2 linked regions of the Anolis sagrei genome follow. The protein of the gene in region 1 purifies or fractionates together with the protein of each later gene. This does not show direct contact. Links are inferred from orthologs where the notes say so. Each region holds a gene or a part of one and is shown in the gene's direction. Other genes may lie near its edges. The genes, in order: LPIN2 and FBXW11.

The links.
Region 2: the proteins of LPIN2 (region 1) and FBXW11 purify together in Homo sapiens (affinity purification with mass spectrometry; 4 studies listed by BioGRID and IntAct, with this or other methods). This does not show direct contact. The link is inferred for Anolis sagrei from reciprocal best matches to the Homo sapiens genes LPIN2 and FBXW11.

What each region holds. Positions count from the first base shown.
Region 1 is NC_090024.1:62,059,776-62,071,965, reverse strand, and holds the start of LPIN2 (phosphatidate phosphatase LPIN2), read left to right. Parts: upstream 1-7,281; 5' UTR 7,282-7,505; intron 7,506-12,190. UniProt on the Homo sapiens protein: Acts as a magnesium-dependent phosphatidate phosphatase enzyme which catalyzes the conversion of phosphatidic acid to diacylglycerol during triglyceride, phosphatidylcholine and phosphatidylethanolamine biosynthesis in the endoplasmic reticulum membrane.
Region 2 is NC_090021.1:141,609,096-141,621,061, forward strand, and holds the start of FBXW11 (F-box/WD repeat-containing protein 11), read left to right. Parts: upstream 1-7,458; 5' UTR 7,459-7,608; coding exon 7,609-7,653; intron 7,654-11,966.

The sequences.
Region 1 (12,190 bases):
TGAACTTCAGCCACATCCTTAGGTGGAGTGTGTGTAGAAATGTCCATATGCATCTATGTGCTGCCATTCAACTTCCCAGGTGGGTTCACATATTCTATTTGTAAAATGGCAGCAGGGGAGGGACAAGGCTCTTGTTCCATGAGAAGGTTCCCATTCAGTGTGCAAGAATTTTGGTGCAGCTGCCACCCACATAGGCCTTCCACCAGAAAGCAGAACAAGTCTAATGCGGAGCTTGATTCTTTTTCTTGTGAAAGAAGAGGAACTCGCTGATTTTGCATTGGGGGGAAGGAGAGAATGAGAACACATTAAGCTGCTAATTTACTCTTCCTGTAGGAAGCATCTCACAAGTTCATCACAGCTTCCTTAATGGAATATATTTATTTACTCAACCAAGTCCAAATAGCTATTCAGGTAAAAATGCTGGTAAGAAACATTTAAAACAGGCATGGGCAAACTTCAGCCCACCAGGTGTTTTGGACTTCAACTCCCACAATTCCTAACAGCCGATAGACTGTTAGGAATTATGGGAGTTGAAGCCTAAACACCTGGAGGGCCTAAGTTTGCCCAAGCCTGATTTAGCAGTACCCTCCTTGCACCAGTTTAAGACCAATGCTGTTTTGGTTTCAGAAAGAAGAGTAAAAAGAATTAGAACAATATGGCCATTATTTTCTTCATGACTTCCATTATTTAGCTTGGGAGAAAAGAAGGCTGAGAGCCATGTTCAAATATTTGGAAGGATGTCACATCGAGCAGGAGGCAGCCTTGCTTTCTCTAGACTAGGAGCAATGGATTCAAATTGCAGGAAGAGATTCCATCTAAACCAGTGGTTCCAAATCTTTTTTTGACCAGGGACCACTTGACCAGGGACCATTCTCTAACATTAGTACCAAAAGTGTTACGAATCAGTTTTTAGATTCGGCTTGGGGTGCAGATTCAGAAATTTGCATTGGATACCCATATCAGTTCTAGTTTCTGATAAGAACATATGCCGTGGTCAGTGATAGGCCACACAAAAGGAGCAGAAATAAAATAAAATAATAAAGAGAAAAGAGGCTCGTGGACCAGATTTTCATCCTTGCTGACTACTGGCAGCACACAGGTTAAGAACCACTGATCTAAACATTAGGAAGGGCTTCCTGCCAATAAGAGCTATTGTTCAACAGCGGACCCTGCTGCCTGGAAGCATGATGGTGTCCTCTTCTCTGGAGGTTTTGAAGCAGAGTCTGGATGGCCATCTGTCAGGGGTGCTTTGACAGTGTGTTCCTTCATGGCAGAACAGGATGGCCCGTAGGGTCTCTTCCACCTGAATGTTCCATGGAAGTTAAGGCTGGAGCAAGGGACCCAGAGTGACGTGGTTGTCTCCATCAATAAGGATAATGAAGAAACAGACAATGGGTGGATGATTTTTCATTTTGTCGTGTTGCCGCTTTCCTTTGAGGAAAGGAGGGCGTCCTTCCCTTTCAGATGAAGGAGGCAAAGTTGAGGTTTGGAGGAGACATTGGATCCCTCTGGAAGAAGAAAAGTCCAAAGGGAAAAGCAAAGGGGATTTGGCCCAAGGGATAGATATCAACTGCTTTGGTTGTGACCCTGCAGGGTGAGTTTGATGGAAATCTATCTGTATATTTGGCAGGCTGGTTGGAGGGGGAAGGCAATGCCTAGAGTTGGATCCAGACTCATTCTTCCCAATGCCTTTCTGGATCACAATATGATATTATCTTTGAATATGTTTTAATGGATTTTGAAAAAGTTGAAATCCAACTTACTAATGCCTTGAAAGATCTCTCCTGCTACTGAAAAGATAACCACCTGAAGCCTAACCCTGCCAAGACACAAGTGTGTGCTTTCCATCTATGCAACCGTGAAGCCAACAGGAAATTGAAAGTCACATGAGAAGCTCAAGAACTTGAACATTGTTTCCATCCTAAATATCTCGGTGTCACCTTAGATCGAACGCTAGCATATAGGAAACACTGCTTGAACACCAAGCACAAAGTAGCTGCACTCAATAACATCCTGTGGAAACTTACTTGCAGCGCATGGGGTGCAGACCCAAAATTAATAAGAACATCAACCCTAGCCTTGTCTTATTCAACTACCGAGTATGCCTGCCCGGGGGTGCTTCCATGATGTCTTGAACTTGTTTTTCTGGCGGAAGAGCGTGTTGGTGATGACAAGGTTGTGCTCCGCACATTTGGTGAGAAGCAGGATGCCATTCGAGTTGCTGTTTCCAACCCCGTCTTTTCCTATGGTGCCTGGCCACAGGTCGAAGTCTCGCCCGACTCTTGCATTGAAGTCCCCCAGGAGAATGATTTTGTCCTCCTTAGGTATCCCCGATAGGACGGTGTCCAGCTGACAGTAGAATTTCAAAGCACTGGCACCTCTTAGACTATGTAATCACACGTGCCAGAGACCGCCGTGACGTGCTCCTCACAAGAGCCATGACAGGTGCTGACGACTGCTGGACCGATCACAGGCTAATCCGATCCACGATGGCTATCAAGATCGCTCCCAAGTGCAGACTCCAAGGAAGGAAAACAAGGCGCAAAATGAACACCCAAGCCCTTCAGGAGCCCTCCAGACGAGCTCATCTCCAAACAGCACTCAAGGACCATCTACCCACAGTACACCCCGAAAATGTTGAGGAACATTGGAACAAACTGAAGACCTCCATCATCCAAGCCTGCGAAGTAACTATTGGATACCAAGCCAAGAAACATCAAGATTGGTTTGACGAAAATGACATCGAGATCCAACAGCTAATCGACAAGAAAAGGAAAGCCTTCCAAATATGGCAGAGAGACATCAACTGTGGTGCTAAGAAAAAGATCTACGTCAATGCAAAAGCTGAGGTCCAAAGAAGGACAAGAGAACTCAAAAACATCTGGTGGACAAAGAAGGCTGAAGAAATCCAACACCTGGCAGATACCCATAATGCTCAAGGATTTTTCAAAGCCACAAAGGTCATCTATGGACCAAGAAACCATGGCATACAGCCTCTACGTTCATCAGACGGAACCAAACTCCTGAAGGACCAAAAGTCAATTGCACTACGTTGGAAAGAACACTACCAAAGCCTCCTAAACCGCAGCTCCAATGTGGCCGAAGAGGTCCTCTCACAAATCCCGCAACAACAAACCAGAGATGAGCTTGCAGAACTGCCTAGCTTGGAAGAAGTCAGCAATGCCATCAGCCAACAAAAGAATAACAAAGCCAGCGGACCAGATGGGATCCCTGCTGAAATCTTTAAAGAGGGAGGACCCGAGCTGACACACCAACTCCACCAGCTCATAGAAAAAGTGTGGGTGACCGAGAAAATCCCAGCAGACTTCAAGGATGCCACCATCATCACCCTCTTCAAAAAAGGGGAAAGAACAGACTGCGGAAACTATCGAGGTATCTCCCTTCTAACCTCTGCTGGGAAAATCCTCGCAAGAATCCTTGCAAACCGCCTTCTGCCCCTCTCAGAAGACACCCTCCCAGAATCCCAGAACGGCTTCCGCCCCTCCAGAGGAACCGTGGACATGATCTTCACTGCACGACAGCTCCAAGAAAAATGCAGAGAACAAAATCAACCTCTGTACATGCCATTCATCGACCTTGCAAAGGCATTCGACACAGTGAATCGCAGCGCTCTCTGGACCATCCTCCAAAAAATCGGGTGCCCAAGCAAATTTGTGAACATCCTGCGGCTCCTCCACAATGACATGATGGCAACAGTCTTGGACAGCAATGGCTCCCAAAGTGACCCATTTAAGGTGGAATCGGGTGTCAAACAGGGATGTGTTATTGCTCCAACTTTATTCTCCATCTTCATCGCTATGATACTTCACCTTGTTGATGGGAAGCTTCCCACCGGAGTGGAAATAATCTATCGGACAGATGGCAAGCTGTTTAACCTCAGCAGACTGAAAGCCAAAACCAAGGTCACAACAGCATCTGTTATAGAACTCCAGTATGCTGATGACAATGTCGTCTGTGCGCATACATAAGAAGATCTACAAGCCACCCTCAACACCTTTGCAGAAGCATACACAAAGCTTGGCCTGTCGCTGAACATCGAGAAAACCAAAGTGCTGTTCCAGCAGTCACCAGCCGTCCCCTCTCCAATGCCAGAGATACAGCTTAATGGTGTAACATTAGAAAATGTCGACCATTTCCGCTACCTTGGCAGCCACCTCTCCACCAAAGTCAACATCGACACCGAAATACAACACCGCCTGAGCTCTGCAAGTGCAGCATTTTCCCGAATGAAGCAGAGAGTGTTTGAGGACCGGGACATCCGTAGGGATACCAAGGTGCTTGTCTATAAAGCTATTGTCCTCCCAACCCTGCTATATGCCTGTGAGACGTGGACTGTCTACAGACGTCACATGCAGCTCCTGGAACTATTCCATCAGCGCTAACTCCGGAAAATCCTGCAAATCTCCTGGGAAGACAAGCGGACAAACGTCAGTGTGCTGGAAGAAGCAAAGACCACCAGCATTGAAGCGATGGTCCTCCAACATCAACTACGCTGGACAGGCCACGTTGTCTGGATGCCCAAAGCAGCTGCTCTACTCCGAACTCAAGAACGGAAAACGGAATGTTGGTGGGCAGGAAAAGAGATTTAAAGATGGGCTCAAAGCCAACCTTAAAAACTCTGGCATAGACACTGAGAACTGGGAAGCCCTGGCCCTTGAGCGCTCCAGCTGGAGGTCAGCTGTGACCAGCAGTGCTGCAGAATTTGAGGAGGCACGAGTGGAGGGTGAAAGAGCGAAATGTGCCAGGAGGAAGGCGCGTCAAGCCAACCCCGACCGGGACCGCCTTCCACCTGGAAACCAATGCCCTCACTGCGGAAGAAGATGCAGAGCAAGAATAGGGCTCCACAGCCACATACGGACCCACAAGGAAACCCATGATGGAAGACCATCTTACTCGTCCAACGAGGGATCGCCTAAGTAAGTATGCCTGCCCTGTTTGGCATAAGTCTCCCACGCAAAGCAGGTGAACATAGCATTGGATGAAATATGCAGAATAATCACAGAATGTCTTAAACGTACACCTGTTGATAAACTCTATTCTAGGTGCAAAGATTACTGCAGACGCAGGCTGCAGCCAGGAAATCAGAAGACGCTTGCTTCTTGGGAGAAGAGCAATGTCCAATCTCGATAAAATAGTGAAAAGTAGAGTGATCACACTGGCAACGAAGATCTGGATAGAATAAGCAATGATATTCCCCGTAGTCACCTACGGATGTTAGAGCTGGATCATAAGGAAGGCTGAGCGAAGGAAGATAGATGCTTTTGAACTGTTGGAGGAAAGTTCTGAGAGTGCCTTGGACTGCGAGAAGATCCAAGCAGACCATACTTCAGGAAATAAAGCCCGACTGCTCATTGGAGAGCAAGATAGTAGAGGCAAAGATGAAGTACTTTGGCCACATCATTTATTTATCGTGTCATCAGCAACCATACCATTATGTTACAATTCTAACAGAACAAAACAAACACACAGATTAAAAAGAAAAAGAAAAAAAAACAGACATCATGAGAAGACAGGAAAGCCTGGAGAAGACAATGATGCTGGGGAAAATGGAAGGAAAAAGGAAGAGGGGCCAACCAAGGGGAAGATGGACGGATGGTTTTCTTGAAGTGACTGGTTTCACCTTCAAGGAGCTGGGGTTGTCAATGGCTGACAGGGAGCTCTGGCGTGGGCTGGTCCATGAGGTCACAAAGAGTCAGAAGCAACTGAACGAATGAATAACAACAACAATAAAACTTTATATCCCGTACCTATCTTCCCGAGGGGACTCTGGGCAGAAAAAACACATTGCGATTTCTCCACATTGCGATTTCTCTTATAAGCACACAGCTTTCTTAGGCTCTTCCAGACAGGCCCTATATCCCAGGATGTAATCCCAGGTTTTCTGTTTTATTTATTTATCGTGTCAGGGGCAGACCAAACAGTTGCATTGCATTTTTAACAAACAAACAAACAAACAAACAAACAGACAGACAGACAGACAAAACACAAAGTTTGCAAGCTTGGTAGTTGATTAAATGTCCTTTGACCAGTAGCTGGCCACTTGGAGTGCCTCTGGTGTTGATGCAAGAAGGTCCTCCATTGTGCATGTGGCAGGGCTCAGGTTGCATTGCAGCAGGTGGTCTGTGGTTTGCTCTTTTCCACACTCGCATGTGGTAGATTCCACTTTGTAGCCCCATTCCTTAAGGTTGCAACTTGTGGAGCCAGAGCGCAGTCTGTTCAGCGCCTTCCAAGTTGCCCAGTCTTCTGTGTGCCCAGGGGGCAGTCTCTCATTTGGTATCAGCCATTGGTTGAGGTTCTGGGTTTGAGCCTGCCACTTTTGGACTCTCGCTTGCTGAGGTGTTCCAGCGAGTGTCTCTGTAGATCTTAGAAAACTATTTCTTGATTTAAGTCATTGACGTGCTGGCTGATATCCAAACAGGGGATGAGATAGAGATGTCACTGCCTTGGTTTTCTGTTTATTGCAGTTTACCTGGCAGCATAGGAGCCCCCGGTGGTGCAGTGGATTAAACCCCTGTGCTGGCAGGACTGAAGACCGACAGGGCGCAGGTTCGAATCCGGGGAGAGGCGGATGAGCTCCCTCTATCAGATCCGGCTCCTCATGCGGGGACATGAGAGACGCCTCCCACAAGGATGATGAAAACATCAAAATCATCCGGGTGTCCCCTGGGCAACGTCCTTGCAGACGACCAATTCTCTCATACCAGAAGCGACTTGCAGTTTCTTAAGTCACTCCTGACACGACAAAAATAAATAAATCTGGCAGCGTAGACTCATATAATCCAGTTTAAAATAGAAAACCTGGGATCAGATCCTGGGATATAGGGCCTGTCTGGAAGGGCCTTTAGAATATAAATGGGGGGGGGGAGGGGAGAGAAAGAAAAAGAGGAAGGAGAAGCTCCGCTGTGACGCCGCTGCAGCCACTAATTAGCCCGGCTCGCTCCACGTTGCAACAGAAGAGGAAGAGGGGGAGAAGGAGGGGGGGGGGTGCTTGGAACACCGGGCGCGAGCGGAGAGCGCGAGGGGGTGGGCACGCGCACAACGCCGCCTCCATCCATCCAGCCAGCCATCCATCCATTTCCCCCTCCTCTACGGTCACGTGGGCTTGGCTTTTCCCTCTTTAAACCTCCCCCCGCTCCCCTTCTCGCTCTTTCGCTGCCATGCCATCCACCAAAGGTTCTGAACGTTGACACAAGGAAGAGGAGGACGAAGAAGGGAGGGGGGAGGAGGGAGGAGGAGGAGGAAGAGGAATTTCCGTTGAGCGCGTGCGAGCGTGCGCGCGCCGGCACCTCCTCGCGTGCGTCACCTTCCCCCTCCCTCGTCGCGCGCCGCCTTGCCTTGCCTTAGCCTTGCCGTTCAGTTCATTCAGCCGGCGCCTCAAGAGAGGGAAGGAGGGAGGCCGGCTGCTGCTCCTCTTGCTGTTCCTCTTCCTGGCCGCCCTCCTCTCCCCCCTGCAGCTCCATCCGACTGAGGCAAGGAACGACGAGGTGAGGTTAGGCGAGGAATTGGCTCTCTCCTTCATGGCATTTCGGTCCCACAGGCTCCTTAGTTGTGGCTTCGAGAGGCGGGTGAGGCTGGTCTCGGGGACGGGCCGGCTGGGCGTCACAAAAAGGGATGCTGTTGCCGCTGCCTGAGGGACGACAGCGGGACACTGACTGACCCTTCATTTTTCACCTCATTGGTTTTGTGTGGACTGTTGAGAAGCCATTGAGGGCCAGGAGGCTTGGTTGTGTGTGTGGACCCTCACTCCCCCCTGCCTCTCACAGGCTTCAGGATTCTGTTCTCTCAGGCCCCTTCCATACAACTGAATAAAATCCTACATTTTCTGCTTTGAACTGGAATATATGGCAGCGTGGACTGAGGTAACCCAGTTCAAAGCAGATATTGTGGGATTTTCTGCCTTGATTTTCTGGGTTATATGGCTGTGAGAAAGAGCCCTCAAACTCTCCCAATCTTGCAGGGGCACCTATTATTAATTCCTTATTACCCTATTTTAGTTGCTTTTAAAATGTCCCAGTTTCTTTCCTCTTTCTACTTTCATTCTTTGTCCTCAGCTTACTGCAGTTGCTGAAAAATGATCTCAAAGTACCAATTATCTCAGGAAGAGAGGAAAAGTGTAATTTTGCAGTTCCCAGTAGGCTCAGGCAAAAACAAATGTTCCCTGCCTATCCTAGCTCATAACCTCTTTTTCTTTAATAATTGTAGCCACTCTGAAATGTTGTCATTTGTTTATTTCAATTGCTGTAAACTGAGTTCAGTTATCTCGGTGCTGAAGGAGGAGGGGAGGAGAGGGGTGGAATCCTGCCATTTCTAGTAGGCTCAGGCAAAAGCAAACTACTGCATTTATTTATTTACTTTATTTCTATACCGCTTTTCTCAGCCCTCAGGCGACTTAAAGCGGTGAACAACATCGATACAAAACATCACGAGACAAGTACAGGGCAATTAAAAACAATTGTAACATAAATAATTAAACATCAGTATAACAATAATTAGCACCTCAACAGTAGAATCAGAATCCAGTCTCATCATCCATTATTCTGTATTCCTATGTTCAATTATACTGTTTAATCAAATGCTTGTTCGAACAGCCAGGTCTTCACTTTCCTCCAAAACGCCAGCAGGGAGGGGGCCGATCTGATATCTGCAGGCAGGGCATTCCACAGCCGAGGGGCCACCACTGAGAAGGCCGTCTCTCGTCCCCGCCAAGCGCGCCTGTGATGCAGGCGGGACAGAGAGCAGGGCCTCCCCAGATGATCTTAGTGTCCTAGTCGGTTCATAGGAGGAGATGCATTCGGAGAGGTAAGTGGGGCCAGAACTGTTTAGGGCTTTATAGGCTAACGCCAGCACTTTGAATTGTACCCGGTAGCAAACTGGCAGCCAGTGAAGCTGGCGCAACAGAGGAGTAGTATGCTCCCTGAGTGCCACTCCTGTTAGCAACCTGGCTGCCGAACGCTGGACCATTTGAAGCTTCCGAGCAGTCTTCAAAGGCAACCCCATGTAGAGAGCGTTGCAGTGGTCTATACGGGATGTAACCAGAGCATGGACTACCATGGCCAAGTCAGACTTCCCAAGGTACGGGTGCAGCTGGTGCATAAGTTTTAACTGTGTGAATGCTCCCCTGGTCACTGCTGAAACCTGGGGTTCCAGGCTCAGCGACGAGTCCAAGATCACACCCAAGCTGCAAATCTGCGTCTTAAGGGGGAGTCTAACCCCGTCCAACATGGGCTGTAACCCTATGCCCTGTTCGGCCTTACTGCAGTCTCAATACTTTTGCAATCTTGTCCACAATCTTATGTTATGCCCCAGTTTTCCTCTGTGAACATTTTGGAGGGTATAATATCAGGACTGGGTCCCATGAAGTAGTTCTCAACCTGTGGGTCCCTGGGTGTTTTGGCCTAATTACAACTCCCAGAAATCCCAGCCAGTTTACCAGTTGTTAGGATTTCTGGGAAAAGAAGGCCAAAACATCTGGGGACCCACAGGTTGAGAACCAGTGCCAGAGGCTTGAGTTACTCAGGTAACCCAGTTCAAAGCAGATATTGTGGGATTTTCTGCCTCGATATTCTGGGTTATGTGTGCATGGCTTTTCCTTTCGTGTTTTTCCCTTTTCCCACAAGTATTTTTGGGGCAGCAGTTGTTTATTTAAAGTCCTTGTGTTGAGCACAGTCATGGGCAAACTTGGGACCTCCAGGTGTTTTGGAGTTCAACTCCCACAATTCCTATCAGCCGGTAGGCTGTTATGAATTGTGGGAGTTGAAGTCCAAAATACCTGGAGGGCCCAAGTTTGCCCATGACTGTGCTCAACACAAGGTCCGCAGGAAGAATCTGGCCCTCCATCTCATGTTATGTGGCTTTCCAGATGCTGGACTACAACTCCTGTTTTCCTCATCATTAGACATCATGACCAGAGCTGATGGGAGTTGTGATACAGTCACATCTGGAATGCTGCATTTTGGTGTGTTCAGTCAGGATATTGGGGTTTTAATGTCATTACACAGCTTTGGCTGGCCTTTAATCTTTTGCACAACCTCAGAGCCACAAGTGCTTTTGGGTTGTCCCATTCTACCCAGTCACTTGACAAAAGTGATGGGAATCGTTGTTCAGTAATATCTGGGGACCTAAACAGGATAAAAGCTAAAGAACAGTGATCACTATGTAAAAATATTATACTTGGCCCTATGTAGCCACAGATTCTCCATCCATGGATGCAAAAGCCCCTTGAAGGCAACCGTAAGGCTGATGTGGTCGTTGATAAAAAAATTAGTTGGACCGCTTTGGTTTAAAGTACAGTAGTCTCTTAGTTAACCGGCACCCATAGGAGATTGGTAGCAATTGGCTAAATGAAATTTCTGATTACTTGAGAGATAATATTAAAATAGCTAATACTATGTCATACCATAAACTCTGTATTGACTTGATATTAATATTGAAATACAGTAAAATCGCTTCTGGTGTGAGAGAATTGGCCGTCTTCAAGGACGTTGCCCAGGGGACGCCCGGATGTTTAAACATCCTGTGGGAGGCTTCTCTCATGTCTCCACATGAGATGCTGGAGCTGACAGAGGGGAGCTCACCCCTCTTCCCAGATTTGAACTGCAGACCTTTCAGTCAGCAGTCCTGCTGGTACAAGGGTTTAACTCATTGCGCTACCGGGGGCTCCAATACAGTAATTAAAAGCAAATAAAGACAAATTTAATTTGCTCTAATATTTCTGCTAAAAATTGATTTTATAAAAAGGATTGTTCCTTTGATTTTTGTTGGTTGTTTAAGAGTTCCAGTTGCTCAAGTTCTGATTAACTAGGTTTATGGCATAAGATTATGGTTTACACTCAACTCTGAGTCCCCCTAGGGGTGAGAAAAGCGATATAGAAATACTGTAAATAAATAAACTCTGTCTTATTTTCATCCAGTTTCAAGGAAATGTTTTGATCCTAAATCAGTGTCAGTAATTGAGTCAACGAGGGTGATCAAATTGAAACCTAATCCAGACAAGACAGAAGTGATGTTGTTCCATCAAAACAGATTGGGGAACAGAGATGCAGCCTGGAAGAGGTTACTCCCCCCCCCCCCCCCCAAATCTCAGGTTCAAAAATCACATACTGGATTTCTCCTTGAGCCTGGATGCCAAAATTTCAGTGGTGACCAGGGATGTCTTTCCACACTTGAAACTAGGACACCAATTATAAATCTCATTGCAGATGTCAGATATGGCTATGGTGATTCTTGCTTTATTATTTTGATTATTGTAATGTACTCTTTGTGCGACTGCCTTTGGAACTTTCAACTGGTTCAAAATACTCTAGTTGAAGTGTTTATCTGGGCTAATTACAATGAATATATAAATCCTCTTGTTGCAGCAGCATCACTGATTGCTAGTTTTTTCAGGCAGTTTCATGTGCTAGTTTTGTATAATAACTATTAATTGAGTTCAGACTTTCTGAAAGACTGTTACTCCCTACACGAGCTTGAAGATCCTTAGAGCAGTGCTGTCTTTCTATCCTATCACTTTGACAGGCATACTTTGTGAGCACCCATGGGAGAGCCTTTTCAGTATGATTCTGTATTGTTCAGTACCTTCCCAGAGCCCCCCCCCCTCCATGACAGGAGACTGGAATAAATGATCATTGTGGTCTCTTCCAAATAAAATCTATGATTGCACTGACTCCCCCCCCCCCCAGTGCAGAAATAGAAAATACCCTTTTTACACAGACTGGACTGTGGACTGGTTGTTATAGAAGGGTTTTTAATAGGGAGAAATTGTACATCTATCCTTAGTGTGACTTTAAAATATTTTAAAATTGTTTTTAATCAGTTATGTTTTTAATAAGATACCTTTATTTTTAAAAACCATTCACAAGATTATGATGATTGCTTTTTAGTTGAATTTTATTTTAATCAATATACTGTTGAACAAGTATGTTGTAATAGTTTTCTGAAATCTTGGTTAATGGTGTCACAAATGCTTGGCAGGCTGGCTATACACTTGCAGGCAGGGGTCTTAATTATGGTATATGCATGCTCAACATTTTTGAAAAAGAATATTTTGTTAATTTTTACCATAATTCTTTTTCAGATGCTACATTAGACTTCATAAATATTCTAGTGATCCATGCCTTGTAGTTGTGTGCTTGGTTCTATTTGTTCATTCACAAGGTCTTGTAGCAAGTTG
Region 2 (11,966 bases), on another chromosome or scaffold:
TTTTGATATGACCACGGAGAAGTTGAGGACTGCTGCTGCCATTTCCCCATCCTTTACTGGAAAGAGAAATAGGGTTGTGACCCTCAGGTGGTTGCTTATATTGCCAAAATATATTTCTCAGCAAGTAGAGGTCGTCGGCACATTGACTTTGGAACTGCCTTATGAGGAGTTTTACAAATTTCATAGCAGAGCTCAACATAGCCTTAGAAACCTAAGCAAAATTGGGCAAAGGTAACATTTAGCTTAAATATGATGACCAATTTATTGTTTTCTCAACATCTCTGGAAAGTGAACAGATTTCTAAAAGCAAAAAGTCCTCCTCCATTTCTTTGACATCTCTTTCAAGTCTGTCTTTTAACAATGTGTTTTTTGCAATTTCCCTCTCTACCATTTTAACAAACTAGGCTTGATAATAGTAAATGTAAACTATACTTTATCAAGTGTTCAATTTAAGTATTTATAGATTGAGGTTGGAAGAACAGCTTGCCTTAAGCTACCTATTGAGCTCACTGAAAAGGCAACATCTAGGGACATTCTGTTCAGATTACAGAACCATCCTTTATGTCTCTTTAGGAAAAAAAATTGTGTAACTGACTCCTTAGCAATATTTATTGAAAACTTTTTTTAAAAAAAAAAAATCTCATGCTTATTGTGAGGCCTAGAGAAGTCCATTGGGTGTAATTGTTTCTTTCTTTCCTGATAGCTCAATAGAGAAAAATAACCAAAGGCTCAGGGACTAGAGCTGGTCCAGGGACCACTGCCTCAAGCACCACCACTTTAAAGGAAAAGTTACACACAAGCACATATTCTTACATTTACATTTCTTATCAGGACCTTGAAGTAACTTGATAAAATGGCAACATAACCATTAAATGCAACTGGTGTTTTAGCAAAGTTAATGGGAATGTGTTGCTTCTCATAAGTGGGTTTAAGCCTGTATATAATCTCCCCCCCCCCCTATTACACTGCATTAGCTCCCTGAAAAAAATTGCACATTTTTAGAGGGAAAAATCATTGTATCAGTTAAATGGTTGACAAGGTCATTACTGTTGTAGGAAATTGTTCTTTCAGCAAAATATATTACAGGAACATGACCTATTTATATTTGACTATTGTGAGAGGATTCTCTTCCTTTTACAGAACTTCTGGTTGAAAAGACTGCAGCTGGTGATTTTTTTTAGGTTCAGACCCTAAAATATAGGTCTGGAAGAGCCTGGTGGGGGCAGTGGAGTGCCATCTAGAAGGGCAATATTTCTGGAATGGGTGGGTAAAGGACAATATATTTGATCTGTTCCTCATTTTGAACTTGGAAGTATTTTTCCATGAAAACCCTGAGAAAAAGGAAAGCTGAAATCTGATCTGTCTTATCTGGAAAGTATTCTGTCAAGTAAGCTTTCTGATAAATGCAAGTATAGCTATGTAGATAACAGACAAATTCCGAAGTCCATAATCTGATACAGGTTGAATCTCTTATCTGAAATGCTTTGGACCCTATTTTGGCATATCTATCTATACATGATGAATTTTTTGGGGAGGTGGGACATAAGGCTAACCATAAATTTCTTTGAGAATCCATACATACCTTATGTACATAGCCTGGAGGCAATTTTATACACAATAGCTTTAATCATTTTGTACATGAAACAGTTGGTGCACACTGATGCATTAAAAAGCAAAGGTATCGCAATCTCAGCCATGTGGACAATTGTGGTGTTTGTTTCCAAATGGTACCAAATCCATCTGAACAAATTTTACAGATACCGGTGAAAAAACGTGCTGAGGATGTGCACTCTTTGGCTACGAAATGCAATTTGCCAAACCCTGTACATTACATTTTTAGTTTTTGATCTGCGCATAATATATAGGCAATTCCCAAGTTATGAAGAAGATAGGTTTATTCTTTTAAAGCTTTAAATAGCAGAAAGAAGGGTGAATACCCCTGTGGTGTTTGTTTTGCTGTCTGTGCCCGTTCAGAAGATTTCACTTCATTTTCTGTCCCTATGATTATTGGATTTTTAAAAATTTGGGTTGTTGTGTAAACAAGGATTGGCGATAAAGCGTCAGTGGAGACAACTTTTCCCCATGATAACAACTTTTTTAGGAGTGAATTTCCCTGAGGAATAGATTTCTCTCACTTCCTGTTCTCAGCCTATTCTTAACTATGAGTGTTTTGCAAGTCTAATGTTTGTAACTTGGGGACTGCCTGTACTACTCCTAACCAACAATGTGTTGCTGCCTAGAACTCTCTCTCCCCCTCTCCTCTTTTGTCTTTTGGTGCCTTTTGGAAAGAAACTCAATTTGGAATTCTGGACAAGGGATACTTAACCTGCATTAGCTCCCTCAGGCCTATCAAAAAGGAAGGGAAAAACAGAACTATGCCACAAGGTGTGTGTAAGGCAGCTCTTGCTCGTTTGCAGCACAAAGGAAAGGTTTGTGCTGCAAACCACTGGCCCCTTCCTGCCTGGAAACCTGCTGCCAGTCACTTTAAACAAGGGTTGGAAGAGTAGCTCCCTTGAGCAGGTGTGGCTAACAGGGCCCAAGGCCAGGCATACACTGTAGACTGAATGCAGTTTGGCACCGCTTTGACTGCCATGGCTCAGTGCAGTTGCAATCCCCCCCCCCCCAACCCAGTTTTTAAAATAATAAAGCAATTATACAAATCACACACAACTAACTTTACCACAAAACATACAATAAATCAGTTAAACAATTAACCATATATTTCTATACATGTAATCTCTATGTGCACCCACCCATGGGGCATATATTCATCTTTAATATTAATTATTCTTATATTGACCTCTTCTCCAAAATACCAGTGTATGTTGATTTGGTTTTATTCCTTTTTCTTTGACAAATATATATTCTATGAGAATTCGCCCCATATTACCTCAAAATAATTTCTCTTCATTAATCCCTTTGTACATTTTATTCCAATATATCAATTTAGTGTTTATTGCAATGTTCCACACCTCTTTGTATCAATCATCAATATTGTAAGCATAATTTTATTTCCATTTTTGGCTATAACTAATCTTAAAGCAGTAAAAAAATAGTATTAATTCTACCTTTTGCCATTTTATTCCCATGTCTCCAAAATTTAATAGATTGCAGTATTTGGAAGTTTTTGTAGATTAAGCGATCGTGTCATTAATTTCAACAAATACTTTATCCCATTTTTTATCTTTTCACACTCCCGCCACAAATGTATGTAAGTCCTAGTTTCCGTATTGGATCTCCAACAATTTTGTAGGTTGTTTCTATTCTAATGTAACATTATTGGAGTCATGTATCACATACCATCTCCAAATTGTTTATAACTGTTCTCTTTAATTCTAATGGGTATATATTTCATAATTCTTGTTTCCAATATTTAACCATTCCTCCTCTGTAATATTGATTCCTAGGTCCCATTTATTTTTTTTGTTTTGAATTGTATTGGAGCACTTTCTAACATTATTTTATAAATTTTACCTATTTGTCCTTTGGCTACTTCATCTGTACCATTCTGCTTTAACTGTATTATTAATTCTTCAAATTTTGTTAACTGTCTGCATTTCCCAGGTTGTTTGATTTAATTCTTATTTTGTGAATCCAATTGTTGAACGTTATACCAAGATATTCTACTCTGTTTAAATATTTCTGTTATATTTTCTAGAAACTTTATTTATACAATCATCTATTTATTTTATTTAGGCAATTTTATCCCACCTTTACCTACTGAAGGGTCAAAGGCGGCTAACAGCATTTGTAAAATACGCACAATACAAACATTAAAACAATACTTAGTCTTGAAATATCACAATACTCCAGCTCTTTCCATGTCCTTTGTGAGTTGTCTTAAGGTTCTCTGGATTTTTTTTTAGATCTATAACTCTAATCAGTGGTGATCGGGGGCTCCTCCACTGAGGGGTCCCCTGGTGGTGCAATGGGTTAAACCCTTGCGCTGGCAGGACTGAAGACCGACATGACGCAGGTTCAAATCCAGGGAGAGCACGGATGAGCTCCCTCTGTCAACTCCAGCCTCCCATGCGGGGACATGAGAGAAGCCTCCAATAAGGATGGCAAAACATCCGGGCGTCTCTTGGGCAACGTTCTTGCAGACGGCCAATTCTCTCACACCAGAAGCGACTTGCGGTTTCTCAAGTCGCTCCTGACACACACAAAAATCAGTGGTGATATTCCAGGACTAAGGATTTTTTTATGTCAAATGTATTTATTATTTATGATATTTCTATCCCGCCTTTCTCAGCCCGAAGGCGACTCAATCTGTGTTGTTGATCTACCAATAGGGTTCTTTTATTTCTTTGAGACATTTATTATTTTGGGCAGTTGCAGTTTCATAAGGTCTTCAGCATTCTCTGCCAAAAAGAGCCAAAGTACACCTGAGCCGTGATAGTTAAAGTGGGCTCAGACTGTATTAATTCACCAGAATGGGTGAACTGTTAAATTATCACTGCTTGCATCAGCATCTACATTCCTTGGAATACTCCAATGCAACATGACTAAAATGATCAAGGGTCTGGAGAACAAGCCCTATGAAGAGCGGCTTAAAGAGCTGGGCATGTTTAGCCTGAACAAGAGAAGGCTGAGAGGAGACATGGAGAGTAGGACACAGAATAATGGCTTCAAACTACAAGAAAGCAGATTCCATCCGAACATTAGGAAGAACTTCCTGACTGTGAGAGCTGTTCAGCAGTGGAACTCTCTGCCCTGGAGTGTGGTGGAGGCTCCTTCTTTGGAGGCTTTTAAACAGAGGCTGGATGGTCATCTGTCAGGGGTGCTTTGAATGCAATATTCCTGCTTCTTGGCAGGGGGTTGGACTGGATGGCCCATGAGGTCTCTTCCAACTTCAGGATTCTACGATTCACAGGTCAGTTAGAGACATTGCACCAATCCTTGGCAACCTTTCGGTCATACAACATACAGTTCAGTCGCCATCATGCGCTGGAACAGTGAGGAGCATGCTTTTGCCATTGAGGCCTACTTTTTGAGCAGATTTGGAGTGGCTGGCCCGCTCTCCAGATTTGGCCCCTTGTGATTTTTTTCTATGGGGTTTTTTGAAATCCCATTTATGTGAACCATCCAAGGACCCTACAAGATTTGAAGACCAACATCCAGGAAGACATTGCCAACATAATGCCTGCTATGCTGGCAAGAGTCATGACAAACACTAGGAATCGGTTTACTCAGTGTATGGAGAATGGGGGACATCACCTACCTAATTTGATCTTCAAAACTACGTAAAACAAAACTTTAGGTATGCGCCTACATTATAAAAAAAATCTAATTCATACAATGGGTTTTATTAAGTTTTGAAAAAAGGAAGTTATGCTGCCTCACCCTGTATTTGGGTTAGTTGTAATAGTCTATTCTATAGTCTCTGAGTTCCCATTGGGGTGAGAAGGGCATCATATAAATGTTGTAAATAAATAAATGGCATGTTTCTATGTGGTTGTAAACATCCATGAGTCTGTTTGACAAAGGCAACCATTTCCCAAATAAATAAAAACTAGAATATCAAGGCAGAAAATCCCACCATATCTGCTTTGAACTAGGTTATGAGAGTGCACACTGTCATATATTCCAATCAAAGCAGATAATGTGGGATATTATTCAGCTGTGTGGAAGGGCAAGTTATGCTCTGAGGTCCTTTCCACACAGCTGAATAAAACCCCACATTTTCTGCTTTGAACTGGAATATATGGCAGTGTGGACTCAGATAACCCAGTTTAAAGCAGATATGGTGGGACTTTCAACCTTGATATGTTGGGATTTTCTGCCTTGATATTCAAGGTTGTATGGCTGTGTGGAAGGGCCTTATATAGTATTATTCATTAAACCAGTGGGTCTCAACCTGTGGGTCCCCAGATGTTTTGGCCTTCAACTCCCAGAAATCCTAAAAGCTGGTAAACTGGCTGGGATTTCTGAGGCCAAAACACCTGGGGACCCACAGGTTGAATACCACTGCTTTATATGGTGTCTGTAGTAGTCTCCCAGAGTGTGTTGAGAGCATTAAAAGGACCAGGGTTACCTGAGGGCCCTTCCACAGGCAGAAAATCCCAACATATCTGCTTTGAACAGGGTTATCTGAGTCCACACTGCCATATATTCCAGGTCAATGTTGGATTGCATACCGATGTGTGGAAGGGACCATATATATATGGCCCCTTCCACACATCTTTCTCTCTCTCTATATATATATATGGTCCTCTCTGTCTCTCTCTCTCTCTCTATATATATATGCCCCCTTCCACACATCTCTCTATATATATGGTCCCCCCTCTATATATATATATATGGTCCCTTCCACTCATCTGTGTGTGTGTATATATATATATATATATGGCCCCTTCCACACATCTATATATATATGGTCCTCTCTCTCTCTCTCTATATATATATATATAGTCCCTTCCACACATCTGTGTGTGTATATATGTATATATATGGCCCCTTCCATACATCTCTATATATATATATGGTCCTCTCTCTCTATATATATATATATATATGCCCCCTTCCACACATCTCTCTATATATATGGTCCCCCCTCTCTTATATATATATATATGGTCCTTTCCACTCATCTGTGTGTGTGTATATATGTATATATATGGCCCCTTCCACACATCTATATATATATGGTCCTCTCTCTCTATATATATATATATATGGTCCCTTCCACACATCTGTGTATATACATATATAAGGCCCCTTCCACACATCTATATATATATATATGATCCTCTCTCTCTCCATATATATATATGGTCCCTTCCACACATCTGTTTGTGTGTGTATATATATATATATATGGCCCCTTCCACACACACACATTTATATATGGCTCCTTCCACACATATGTATGTGTGTATATATATGGTCCCTTCCACACGTGTATGCAATCCACATTGACCTGGAATATATGGCAGTGAGGACTCAAGATAACCCTGTTCCATGCAAATATGTTGGGATTTTTCTGCTTTGATATTCAAGGTTTTATGGCTGCGTTGAAATATCCGATTTCCCATTGTTTTCTGCCTGTGTTGCGTTCCTGTGGCGAAAACGCCAACTCCCGCTCCTCTTCCCTCACCGGGACAACGGGCCTCTTCCTCCTCCTCCGAGGCCAGGCGGCGGAGAGGCCCGCTTTGCAGCAACGGCCGCTTCCTCCTTCCAGCAAGTTCCACCGCAAATGGCGCGGAGTGAGCGGGCGGGCAGCCCAAAAGCAGCCCTTGGCATGCTGGGAAATGCAGTCCTCTCGCCACCGTTGCTAGGAAACGCGCAGAGCCCGCCTTGACAGGGAAGGGAGAGAGGGAGGGAGGCAGGAAGGGCTGCCGCTCCGCTGCGGCGCTGAGAGAAAGGAGGCGACGACACTGCTGCAACCGCCACCACGCCCGGGCTACTACATCACTTCCGCTTCCGGGCGCGCGGCCGAGGCGGAGGAGGCGGCGGCGGCGGGTCAGTCAGTGGCGCTAGCGGCGGCCTCTTCCCTCCCTCCCTCCCCCTGCTTCTTTGGAGTGAAGGAAGCCCGGGGTCACTACGGGGGTCCTTCCCTCCCCACCGGCCCGCCGCGGAGGAGCCGCTCCCACCGACGCCGCCGACGCCATGGAGCCGGAGTCGGTGATTGAGGACAAGACCATCGAGCTGATGGTGAGTGAGGAAAAAGGAGGAGGAGGGAGGGAGTGGGGGAGGGGAGGCGGCCGCGGAAAGATTGGAAGGAAGGAAGCAGGCAGGCAAGCCGGTGCGGCAGGCCTCGGTTTGGGCCTCGCCGCTCTCCGTAGCCCCCGCCATTATGAAGGAGGGGGAGGGGTCTCGCGCTGGAGGGAGGGAGCGCGCGCCCCCCTCCCCCTTCTCCATTTTGGTCGGAAGGCGATTCTTAAAGGGGCCGCCTCGAAACAGGCTCCTCTTTTCTCCCGAGGAGGAAGAAGAGTTTGGCCTCTTTCTCAGACAAAGGCCCCTTCCACACAGCTGAATAAAATCCCACCTTGAACTGGGGCCCTTTCTATAAATCTGAATAAAATCCCACCTTGAACTGAGGTCCCTTCTACACAGCTGAATAAAATCCCACCTTGAACTGGGGCCCTTTCTATAAATCTGAATAAAATCCCACCATGAACTGAGGTCCTTTCTACACAGCTGAATAAAGTCCCACCTTGAACTGGGGCCCCTTTCTATAAATCTGAATAAAATCCCACCTTGAACTGAGGTCCCTTCTACACAGCTGAATAAAGTCCCACCTTGAACTGGGGCCCTTTCTATAAATCTGAATAAAATCCCACCTTGAACTGGGGCCCTTTCTATAAATCTGAATAAAATCCCACCTTGAACTGAGGTCCCTTCTACACAGCTGAATAAAATCCCACCTTGAACTGGGGCCCTTTCTACACAGCTGAATAAAGTCCCACCTTGAACTGGGGCCCCTTCCACACAGCTGAATAAAATCCCATCTTGAACTGGGGCCCTTTCTATACATCTGAATAAAATCCCACCTTGAACTGAGGTCCCTTCTACACAGCTGAATAAAGTCCCACCTTGAACTGGGGCCCCTTCCACACAGCTGAATAAAATCCCACCTTGAACTGGGGCCCCTTCCATACAGCTGAATAAAATCCCACCTTGAACTGGGGCCCAAGCTACACAGCTGAATAAAATCTCACCTTGAACTGGGGCCCATCTGAATAAAACCCCATCTTGAACTGGGGCACCTTTCACACAGCTGAATAAAATCCCACCTTGAACTGGGGCCCATCCTACACAGCTGAATAAAATCTCACCTTGAACTGGGGCCCCCTTCCACACAGCTGAATAAAATCCCGCCTTGAACTGGGGCGCCTTCTACACAGCTGAATAAAATCCCACCTTGAACTGGGGCCCCTTCCATACAGCTGAATGAAATCCCACCTTGAACTGGGGCCCCCTTCCACACAGCTGAATAAAATCCCACCTTGAACTGAGGTCCCTTCCACACAGCTGAATAAAATCCCACATTATCTGCTTTGGACTCGGATATATGGCAGTGTGGACGCTGGTATTCCACTTCAAAGAAGATAATGTGAGTTATTCTATCTTGATATTCTGTGTTGAAGGGCTGTGGATTACATGGCAGTGTGGATTTAGAGTCCTTCCAGACAGGCCCTAAATCACAGGATCTGATCCTAGGATCTGTGCTTATTCCAGATTATCTGGCAGTGTGGACTCATATAATCCATTTTAAAGCAAGAAACCTGGGATCAGATCCTGGGATATAGGGCCTGTCTGAAAGGGCCCTCAGATAACCCAGGGTCCTTACACACAGACCTATATCCCCGAATATCAAGGCAGAATATCCCACATTATCTGAATATGGACTCAGATAACCCAGTTCAAAGCAGATATTGTGGGATTTTCTGCCTTGATATTCTGGGTTATATGGCTGTGTGGGCCCTCAGACAAAAGAGAAAGCTCCCTGCGGCCCCCTCCTTCCATCTCACTGCCTTCCCTACATCCCCAAGGACTGAAGGTGACATCCACCTGGACTTGCCTGAGAAAGGATGCTCAGCACACAAAGCCCCAGTGTCCCCCAAAGAAGGGGGTGGGGCTTCTTTGAGCTCCTTTCCATATCCGGACCTTTGTCATCTTCCCAGCTTGGCCCAGTCTGTGAGTGCTTCTCAGGATGGAACTAAGGCCTCTTCCACACAGCTGAATAAAATCCCACATTATTTGCTCTGAACTGGAATAATAATAATGATAATAATAACAATAATTTATTTATATTCTGCCCTATATCCCCTGGGGGACTCAGGCAGATTCCAATACACAAAAAGGCAAACAGTCAATGCCTCAATAAAAGTAAATACGAATATAAAAACCCAAGATAACCCCAAGGGCAACTTAAGCATGTAATTTAAATAAAACATCAATTGAAAGTTATAACAGAACTTGAACATTAAAAAAATCTGAATTACTATATCAAAACAACACGAAGGTTCACAAATGTGTGGATAGATTGGATGGCCAAAGTTGTTAAGTGGGCTAATGTGATCTAACAAGGCCCAAGTACATTTATACTATCCAATAAACAGTCTGGCAATATATGGCAGTGTGGACTCAGATAACCCAATTCAAAGCAGATATTGTGGGATTTTCTGCCTTGATCTTCTGTGTTATATTGCTATGTGGAAGGGCCCCCAGACAAGCTCAGGATCTAATTCCAGGTTCTGCATTAAACTGGATTTTATGAGTCCCCACTGCCACATAATCTGGAATAAACAGACAACCTGGAATCAGATCCTGGAATATAGAACCTGTTTGGAAGGACCCTTAGCTGCCTAGGCAAGTGTTTGGGTTCCTCTCTCCCCTTTTGGATGGGTTGAATGATCTTTGAGAGCCTGTGTACCCTGCTTTCTCTCTCAGGGTCCTTCTACACAGCCATATAATGCAGAATTTCAAGGCAGAAAATCCCACAATATCTGCATTGGATTGGGTTATCTGAGTCCACTTCCATATATTCCAGTTCAAAGCAGATAATGTGGGATTTTATTCAACTGTGTGGAAGGGACCTCATAAAGGAGCCTCCCAATATGCAATGTATACCTTCTCCTACATTGCATGAGAATCCTCCTTGCCCCAGGCAGTCTTTCCCAAACCCAGCGTTTCCTCCTGTCGATTTCCTAACCGCAAGGGACCATTGTTCTGAAGAACAAACTGCCTCCTGCTTCTTGGCTGAAAGTCGCAAGACGCCCACGCACCCAGAAAGCATTGATTAACGTGGAAAACATATTATTTCTTTTATTGGATCAATATCCCACCTTTTGTTCAGATTGTGGCCCTTTCCACACAGCTGTATAAAATCTACATTGAACTGGATTATATGGCAGTTTGGACTCACATAATCCAGTTCAAAGCAGATATTGTAGATTATCAGCCTTGATATTCAGGGTTATATGGCTGTGTGTTATAGGACCCTGGGATAAGATAGGGAATGCTCTAAATACTAAGATTATTATTATTTAAAAATATTATGTATTTTATTGGATTTGCATCTTACCTTTTTCCCAGACTGGGATAAAATAGGGAACTGGCTAAATACTGAGATTAATTCTAAAAGTATTGTTTATTTTTATTGTATTTGCACTCTGCATTTCTCTTAGACTAAAGTGAAATGGGAGCTTCTCTAAGTGTGGAGATGCTGAGACTTGCGCCTCTCCTACACAGATGTATAAATTCCAGATTTTCTACTTTGAACTGGATTATCTGGCAGTGTAGACTCAGATAATCCAGTTCAAAGCAGAACATGTTAATTATCTGTCTTGGTATTCTGGATTATATGGCAGTGTGGAAGGACCCTCAGTTGGTTTAAAAAGTACTTCGGTTTTCTGTTGATAGCATCACCTCTCTATTAAAATGTAGTCTGTGGCCCCTTCCACACAGCTGCATAAAATCCATATTGAACTGGATTATATGGTCATGTGAATTCAGATAACCCAATTCAAAGCTAATATTGTGGATTATCTGCCTTGATATTCTGGGTTACATGGCTGTGTGCTGTAGTCCTTTGCCTACTTAAATATGTAGACATGTAGCTAGCTAAGGTCTTCCTTCCTTTTTTTGTTACAAAGATGTGATTTCAAATACACTAATAGCTGTAATGAGTTGGATTGGATGGCCCTTGTAGTCTCTTCCATCTCTATGCTTCTGTGTGAGAGCTGTTCTGTATAGTCCTGCAGTTACATAGAATGTGATGCTTCTATTCCTCATGTAAAAGTCCTGAGTCTGATGGAGAAAGTCTGAACTGAAATGTCAATTTTATATTTGACTTACCTGTAAATTACCTGAACAGCATTGAGAACCTGGAATTGTAGTCTTTAAATGTTGATAAACAAAATAATGCGGCAGAACTATTAAATGCATCTATTCTGATCTGTACTTTGTCTACAAAAGGGTGAAATATGCAATTTAGATCAGATTGTGTTTCTTTTGTTCAT